2 linked regions of the Bombyx mori genome follow. The protein of the gene in region 2 interacts with the protein of the main gene of each other region in a pairwise test. Links are inferred from orthologs where the notes say so. Each region holds a gene or a part of one and is shown on either strand. Other genes may lie near its edges.

Evidence for each region.
Region 1: the proteins of deformed epidermal autoregulatory factor 1 (region 2) and zinc finger protein 665 interact in a two-hybrid assay, tested with the Drosophila melanogaster proteins (2 studies listed by BioGRID). The link is inferred for Bombyx mori from reciprocal best matches to the Drosophila melanogaster genes Deaf1 and Clamp.

The regions. Positions count from the first base shown.
Region 1 is NC_085121.1:5,965,504-5,970,083, reverse strand, and holds the start of zinc finger protein 665, read left to right. Parts: upstream 1-1,535; 5' UTR 1,536-1,868; intron 1,869-1,918; exon of another isoform or gene 1,919-2,095; intron 2,096-2,207; 5' UTR 2,208-2,246; coding exon 2,247-2,378; intron 2,379-2,469; coding exon 2,470-2,767; intron 2,768-2,942; coding exon 2,943-3,065; intron 3,066-3,630; coding exon 3,631-3,774; intron 3,775-4,580. UniProt on the Drosophila melanogaster protein: Transcription factor involved in X-chromosome dosage compensation in males, the process by which transcription of the single X chromosome in the male is elevated. Binds to the DNA sequence (GA)n.
Region 2 is NC_085107.1:2,583,274-2,587,545, forward strand, and holds the start of deformed epidermal autoregulatory factor 1, read right to left. Parts: upstream 2,801-4,272; 5' UTR 2,178-2,800; coding exon 1,466-2,177; intron 1,341-1,465; coding exon 1,101-1,340; intron 1-1,100. Other genes in the region: uncharacterized protein LOC105841890, read left to right, coding at 3,923-4,000. UniProt on the Drosophila melanogaster protein: Transcription factor that binds the homeotic Deformed (Dfd) response element. High affinity binding sites contain at least 1 TTCG motif surrounded by additional TCG sequences.

The sequences.
Region 1 (4,580 bases), on a different chromosome or scaffold from region 2:
ATGGAAACGACCTAAGTATAAATAGGTACAGGTTTGTAGGGTTGTCTATGTAGTTATAACAATATTTTTTAAATTTGTTGCTAAAAATGTGGTATATTCGAAGCGAAATTGAGAATAAGTCTTTAGTTGAAATAGATAAGCAATTTAATATAAGTAAGTCGATTTTGCAGAGACATGTAGCAAGATCAATGAAATCTCAAGGTGGACAAAAATGTCTAAGTAATATATTTAATATTTGAATAATAAATATTTCAAATTTGTTCAGAGTGGGGGTATTCATCTGATTAATCCATGGAATAACCGACACACCTAATCTCTTAACCCAGATAGAAATATCAGCACTGTCGATTGCACCTATAATTGAGGTGATGTCTGCCATGTATTTTTGTCAGTTTTTCATTTTTTTTTATTGATGATCACTTTGTTGGTGCAACTAAGTAAATAAATAAATTAAAACTATATATAAAAATAAAAGTAGTGCCAACCCTAGCAAATTTCTCATTTCGTCCCAATTAACCGCAATTTTCGGGTAAATAGGGATTACACCTATTTTTGCATTTTTTGCTTAAACTGGAATGCTAGTTGCATAATTTTAAATTAGACAACAAAGATGCCCCCAAGACTCAATCATTTTGATCCTGATATAGCATTATATACATCAACAACTACCTTAAAATTGCTCACAAAGTTGGAATTTGTCCCTAATCGCCCCATTTTACGGTATGTGGTGTCCCTACTATATACGTCTATGCTCTCCTCATCCACTTCTTGCCGGCCACCGGTCATCGCACCATCTAGCCAGGGGGCGTCCCACGTTACGTCGTCCGCTGCGCGGTCTCCACTCGAGAACCCGTCTGCTCCAGCGATCGTCAGTCCTACGGCATATATGGCCAGCCCACTGCCACTTCAGCTTGCTGACTCTATATTAGTTCAGTTGTATACTTAATATTAATTATCAACAAATCGTTAGTCATTATTACAATGGGAACCGACATAAAGTCTGTTTTTACTACCAAAATATTTTAAAGTAACGTCCTTAATATTAATCGATAGTTTGATGATATAGTTAGTTTTACAGTTGTTTTCCGAAATTATTCCATGAGAATATACTGGCAAAAGGGGAATCGTAACAATGAGAAGATACATACAAAGAACTCAAATATCATGATTCAACAGACACAAGCATCTACTGTAAATTACCACGAGAAACTGTATTTGTGTACATGTATATTAATATGTGCAACTAGAACGCAGAAAAAGAAAGAAGCTGTCCTTTACTATCTATGTAAGCAGGTCTGGTGCGCAACACAATGCATCCTTGCCGGTGTTTGCGTTTTCTATATATAAAGGAAGTTGCGAATTTAAACAAAACGTACATATTACATAATAAATGTTCAAGGGTGACTGCCGTGATATAGTAATACATCGCTTTATACCAAATCCACATCTGTTTCTAAATTTGGGTAATTGCTTTCACAATTTGTTGATTTGAAGGATGGCAATAGCCATTAATAATGTAATTGAGACTTTGACTTCATGTTTCAAGGTGATGGGGTGACATTCATGTCTATGGGTTCTAGTAACCATATTACATCAGATGAGCTGTGAACTCATTCACCCACCAACGCAATAAAAAATTCGATAGCTTTTTAAAAAGAGTTATGTTTCATTTTCCCATTCTTATTATTTTTTAATGTTTGTAACACAATGGGGGCTGTCCCGCCATTTTAAATTATCGCCATTTCGTTTCTTGTGTGAGATGGAGAATTAGACAGGAAAGTGAGATAGAAATAAAATATCCTATTGTGTTTCTCTCTGTAAATCCTTACAATATAAAATTTAACTTTAACTGTGATATTATATAAGAGGTAAGATTTTAAAATACCTATAGAGAGATGCCGTTCATATTAAACAATTCATCGAGGCGTCTGTTCGGTTTGAGTGACTTCAATGGCGTCCCTTACTAAAACTTTTTAGATGGTTCCCTCATCCTTTTCTCACACATCTCTACTCTTCACTAGTGACTAGAGAGTAGACTGTGTTTACTGTTTTCCTGGCAAGTGGCATATTCAACTTCCAAAAGAACAGAAATTTAGTAAATATGTATTTTATAACTTTCACCTTTAGTTTCAATACATTGAATGATCATAATTTTTATTATCGAAATGTATTCTTATTAAATATCTTTGACTATTTTGTTTCATAAGCCGAGAAAAATAATGAGATAAAAGAATATCATTTTAAAAATGTTTACAACTAACAACGTTCAAGCGGGCACAGTGCCCACTCTACAGTACCAAGAACATCCTCAGAAGTCACAAGGGAAGAACATAGAAAACGTACAACAAAAGAATGCTCATCAATCACAGGCACAACAGGTCATATATTGTGTTGAATTAGTAAAATAATACAGTAGGTATTTAAAATTATTAAAATATTATAATAATTGAGGACATAAATCTTTTTCAGGAATTTCCAACATTTTGTTATACAACAAATGTGAATATGATTGGTAAAATTGGAACTGCGAACACTAGTCAAACAGGGGGTGTGAACATAACGCAACTGACTACAAGCGATGACAAGACATGCTATATAGCACAACCGTTCTCATATAATTATGCACTTGTTAATCAAATGCAAATAGCTCCTAATGGAATACAAAATACAATATCAAACATTAGTTTCAAATGTGATGTTTGTGGACTTATGTTTGGTCATCTAACTTTACTGACAGCTCATAAAAGGATTCATACTCAAGATACAGGTAAAGCTACAAGCTGTACTGAAGTTTGAAAACACTGCAAACATAAATTAAGAGGGTAGATTAGTACAAAGATGATATGCGGTGTTGTTCATATTTTCAATTGTCAAGTGCAATATAATATGATATGGTTTTGTGTTGGCAAGCAGAATTAATAACATTACAATAATTTTTACAGATAACAATATTACAGTGGTAGCAACAGCTGGAAATGATGTTACAATGCCTTCACATATACAAATATTGTCATCAGACCCAAATGAACAACAAAATCAACAACACCATGTACAAATACAAGACAGTAAGTCAAGTTTTGCTCTATATTTTTCAATTTTCAAATTCTCTTTTTATTGTTTGGTGTATATTATAAGTTATACTCCTCCTTGCGTCGTTTTCCTCATTACTGAGAGTTGTGACTCCCCCGCTGCATCAGTTTCTCCCGTACGATTTCCCTCCATCTGCTGCGATCCTTAGCTTCATAAGAGCATTGTGGAAGTTGATGCTTAGAGAAGATCGTATTTGGTCCGACCATCTCGTGGGACTGCGTCCTCTGGGACGTTTGCCATCTACCTTTCCTGTCACCATCAGCTGTTCTAGATTGTGACCCTCTTTACGAGCAATATGTCCAAAGAATTCCAGCACCAGAAAGTTATACATATAGTGTACGTTAAATATCAAGGACCCATTAATGTCAGTGATAATGAATGTTTTAGATAGTCTACTGTTTGTAATTATTTTTACTTATACTGAGCTTAAAGCATTGTAGAAAATATAATTATAAAGTAATCTCTAAAGTATTTAGTTAACTTAGTTACTTAAGAATCTCTTTCCTTCTAAGACTAATAAGAATCTTGTATTTATTGTAGCCAAGCCTTTACTAGACAAAATTCAGAAATGCATATCATGTGGTGGAACAATACAGAACAATCCAAAAAGAAAGGGGCCCAAGTTAATAAGATGTGAAACCTGTATAGCACAAGACTCTGTTGATCAACATAGACCAAATCAAAGTGAGTACAACTCTGTAAAGTTCTAATGGGTAATTACATAAAAAAAATAGACAAATTATACTACAAACTACTTGTAAAGGGGTGCTCATTAGAAACTCAGTAGTCAATGAATTTAATTTAATTTATTATGGCCTCAAGGGTTAACCTAACTTGTGCTGTTATATTGGTGTGATTGTGCCTTTGTGTGACTCCCATAAGCAGGTACCAATTTGTCTTATGAAATTTGTACTTAACTGAATGAAGTAATTATCTATATATATAAAAGAAAGTCGTGTTAGTTACACTATTTATAACTTAAGAACGGCTGAACTGATTTGGCTGAAAATTGGTGGGGAGGTAGCTTAGAACCAGGAGAAGGACATAGGATACTTTTCATCACGTTCCCGTGGGACGTGGCATACAACGTGGTATAACAAAACACAACTGATATGGATTAACAAAATGCAAATGACAGCTAAACGTAACGTAGTCTAAGGTTAATTAAAGTAGAATTTTGAAGTAGACCGGTTGATGTGTTTGTTTCGAGTTTCTATTAGCTTATTGTGCCGAGATAGGTAATCATTACCAGAAAACCATGCCGCGATCAACATGATCGAATTTTTCCCGACGAAGCCGTAATGCAACTAGGGTTCGAAACATTGCGAGTGAAAGGACTGAAGAAGAACAAGAAAATATAATAATAACAACTAAAATACATGGCCAATAAAGTATCATTAAAATACTTGCTTTTTTTAATTTACATTAATTATCCAAATATAAAATTGACCTTGATAAAATTAAAAGTATGCTCATTTATTGCCTCTAAG
Region 2 (4,272 bases):
CTCATCATATTTACAGGAATGACATCTCTATTGCAACAATTTTTTATTAATTTACCTAAGTCAATAGACACTGACCCTAATATAAATAAAACTCAAATTACCTGCCAGCATAACAGTAGTTAAGTTAAATAACAGTAGGATAATAACAACAAAAGAAATCACTGGCCACTTGACCGATAATGAACTATTATTACAAAGAAGTCCTCTTGGCAGATGGAGGAGAAAATATTTAAAAGTTAGGCATGAGCAATAAGAGGATGATATAATGGCATTACGCTTGGCACACACATGCTGAATGTTGAGATGGTGCAGCAGTAGTGTATAACTAGGTTATACAGAGCTTTTAAGATGATCTAAGTGGTATGATCATCTACTAAATGCCATAGTTGATAAACAAAATTCTTGTTAAAATTGTTTTTAAAATTCGCTTAAGTATATGGTTGCCATTGCCATTTCTTTGCATTGCAAACAGAATTTTAATTAATGATAGCTTAGCTTGTATTTTTGATAGCCTACAGAAAACAATGTAAATTCTTGAACTTTACGCAAGCTGTTTATTCAAAAAATCTACATTAAATTGTCAATCAATTTAAACAACATAGAGACACCTAACTCTAGACTTCTGAGAAAAAATACGTAAATATCAATTTTTTGCATTAATGTTTAAATTGACTATTATTATCATTTAAATGAGGCATAAATTGTCTTAGTAACATCAAAACCAGTACATACATAATGCATGCTCCATTTGAGCATCCAATTGTAAATTTGTCATCCAATTTGTAAATTGTTAATTTCATTTAAAATTTTATTTTATACAGTCACTAATCAGTAAAATATTTAATGTTATAATAATAATTTCCATTCGCAAGTGGTCGCAATTTGCAACATTTAGCAAAGTTATTGCAAAATATTTGTCACAGTAAAGAGATCTAAATTAATGTCACCCATGCCGCTAAGATCTAATATGTGCTCTAATACAAAAGAATGAAAAATATCCTAGTTAGCTTTTTTGTTTTCTAATCTTATTTTGAATGCTGTAATAGCCAGCAAAGGCTAGTAATTCAACATATAAATATTTATGATATAAAAATATTTACTTGGAGGGGGGTCAGTCTTGATTTCAGGGTTCCCCAGTATCTGGTAATCGGTAGTAGTTTCCAAACCCTCAGCGATGCTCTGCCAAGCTTCTTTTGAGTGACTATTCTCACTGCTCTGGTGTATGTTATCCACTTCACTCTCTCCAATGCTGCTTTCTCTTTTAATTTTTGGTTTCTTCTCACTTCTTTCTTCCTTTCGCTTTCTTTTATATGGAGTGAATAGTCTCACTGGTCCCATGGCTGTAGATTTCATTATTACAGGTTTATAATCACAATAATACTAATAAAACTACTGCTTAAAAATTCACAGCAATTTAGCATTCAAAATATATTCAATTGTAGCATACTTAACATGCATTACTTACCAGATTTATCATCACAGCAAGCTCCGCAAGTGCAGCTTGTAGCATGTGGAGTCAAAATACCCTCATCAATGAGAGCTTGAATACTTCTTCCACCAAACCTTATAGACCTCTTCCAATCTTTGCTAGAGGCTCTGCCACATAGAGCTTCGAACTCACTAGGAGTGTACCACTCTATGCCGTATTTGATACACCTGCCTCTGCCCCCTGAACCGAATTTATTTTTGTGGAGCTCTGCTGATGTATTTTTACAGCGTACCGGCAGCACTGGCATGTTCGCAGTCTCCGTCCATGATCGTGCACTCATCGATCGCGGCGCAGGCGCAGCTACCACCACATCCTCGCAATTAGTTCGAGTAGGAGAAGGAGGGTTCTGGATGACGATGTGTGTTGCTTTTAACTCATCGCTCACTGGCCCACCCGAAATAAAACCATTGTCAACGCAGATCATTGGCTTGAAATGCGGCAAATGGTCTGACGTGATTACGTTGAAGGTGGTACCCGCGATGAGCGTCCCAACTGGCAACGAGACTGGTACAGTCACAACTCCGTTAGAATCATTGGACAGCCGGGTGTTTTTGATGGTGGTAGACAACACAGACGTGCCCTCCACCCGCTCGTTGTCGTGCTCGGTCGCCGTCGACAATGGATCGGCTTCGGATACTTCGGTAATGTCCGGCATGACGACGTTGTCCGAACTTCTATTCTCGGCCATATCTTGTATCCGCCCACCCCGGCACTACACCTTCACGGTGTTGGACTGTTTCCGACAATTACATTAACGTTTATTTACTTTAATTCGTTCCTACTAAATAAAAGATATGCTATCGTTCAATCATCGTCCGCCATAATTAAATCGAAATAGAAACATTTCATTTCACGTAACTTCTCGTAACTAAGTAAAAGCGGCAAATTTAAAATTTATCAAATATCATCCGAAATGCTAATAATCTCATAATATTACATACTAATTAAATTATCTATTTTCTTTTAAACTTAATGTGAAATATTATCATTGTGAAGGTTACATGATGCATATAGTCTTCCTCTGTAGTGGTTCAAAGGAGCAATAAACAATAATAAGTATTAGATTAAATAATTTGATGTAAATAAGTATCATATTTGTAATTTCCAGTAAAAAAACTCGTAAACAGACATTGAAAATTCAATATGTACGATAGAACACATTTATATTATCAACAAAGTAGAAATTTGCATTAGTGTATTTTCGTATTCTAAAATTGAAACTGTGTACATACTTCACTTGAATTTATCTTATTGCGTAAATAGCATTTTAGTTGATGTTCCTATTTGATAATAAATCAATCCTGCCTTAAATTTATAAATATAACTTTTCATAACGTAGATAGGTATATACAGAAAAAAACTATATTTAAATTAAGAGACATAAAGCCAGTCATACACCAACAGGTTACTTGACAATATTTCAATATGCACAATACCTATTAATAGTTTTTGAGACATATGTTGCTTAATTATAAAGGTATCAATATTGATACCTTATCATATGATACGATGATCGTTGGTGATGATGATTGAAGCACATTCTTGGTATGGTAAGAGTAATATTGAGTGTTTTTTGTTTACGTATTTAGAAATAAAATTACAATAAAGAGTACGTGATAATATAAGTCACGTGGTCGTGAATGAGAGGGCGTATAGCACCTTTGATTGCCGTTATGGCTTGAACCACGGTTAAAGAAGAAGATTTTAGAAAAGGGCTAAGGAAATACCACAAACGCAAATTAAAGCTCAGGCTTTTTCAAAACTAAATAATGGTTGAAGGGAAAAGGAAAAACTGATTTGCAGATATAATCACGTACACATACGTGATCTGTAGATTTCTTGGTTAAAGGCAGTGGCTTGGTTTCGGGGAATAGGAATGCATTCCACTCTATCAGTTTATATGATAGTACATTGGAAAAGAAGCGATTACCTGGTGTCACGCTGAAAATGATAATTTAATATTACATTCAAGCAACTATGTTGAACAGTGTCATATTAAAATACTTCTAGGAAAGGTCAAACTTGCACTTGTACTTGTACTTGTTGTACCTAATGCTTTAAGCATTTTTTAATAATCTATGGCAGGTCGGTATTGATTTCTTGCTAGTATTATTAAGCGACTAAATGAAATAGTACCACGAATGAAACGATAACATAGTAAATATTATGAATTTGTACTACGTCCGTGTGGTGTGTATTTATATTCTTCGGGTTTCTTGTTTCATCAAAACAACGAAAACAAACCTACAGATTTCCAAATGGATCATAAAAAATAAATAATTCACGGGTTGTTTTTAATAAACATATATGCTGATTGTCGTGTTATAATACCATGTATCTTCCATACGTTGCCAATTATTAAGATAGCAAGATTTTCCTCAGCAATTTCTGTGATACTCATGTCATATCTGTGAGTCTTGTATAGGTCAAATTATGGAGGAGAACAAATCTAAACACAAGACTCTGCAGAATGCTGCTCATCATATCGCGTTAGACTGCATACAACCACAGGTGAATATGTTTTAATAGACTAATAAATACATTAAATGTAAAGCATTTACTAACTTGTTAATTACTAATTGTTCTAAAGTTAGCTTAAGTTCTCACATATTTTCTATACCTATTCGCTGGTAGCCTAGGAGGCTAGACCAGCTACGCGCGGACGGGTAGGTGAGCACATGGGCTCAGAGAGAGAGAGTTTGTTAATACTAGCCCTGGAAAGAGCAGTGCTTCGCAGAATCTGCTACTGGATTGGAATCACGACCCACTGAGGAGGTCCGGCA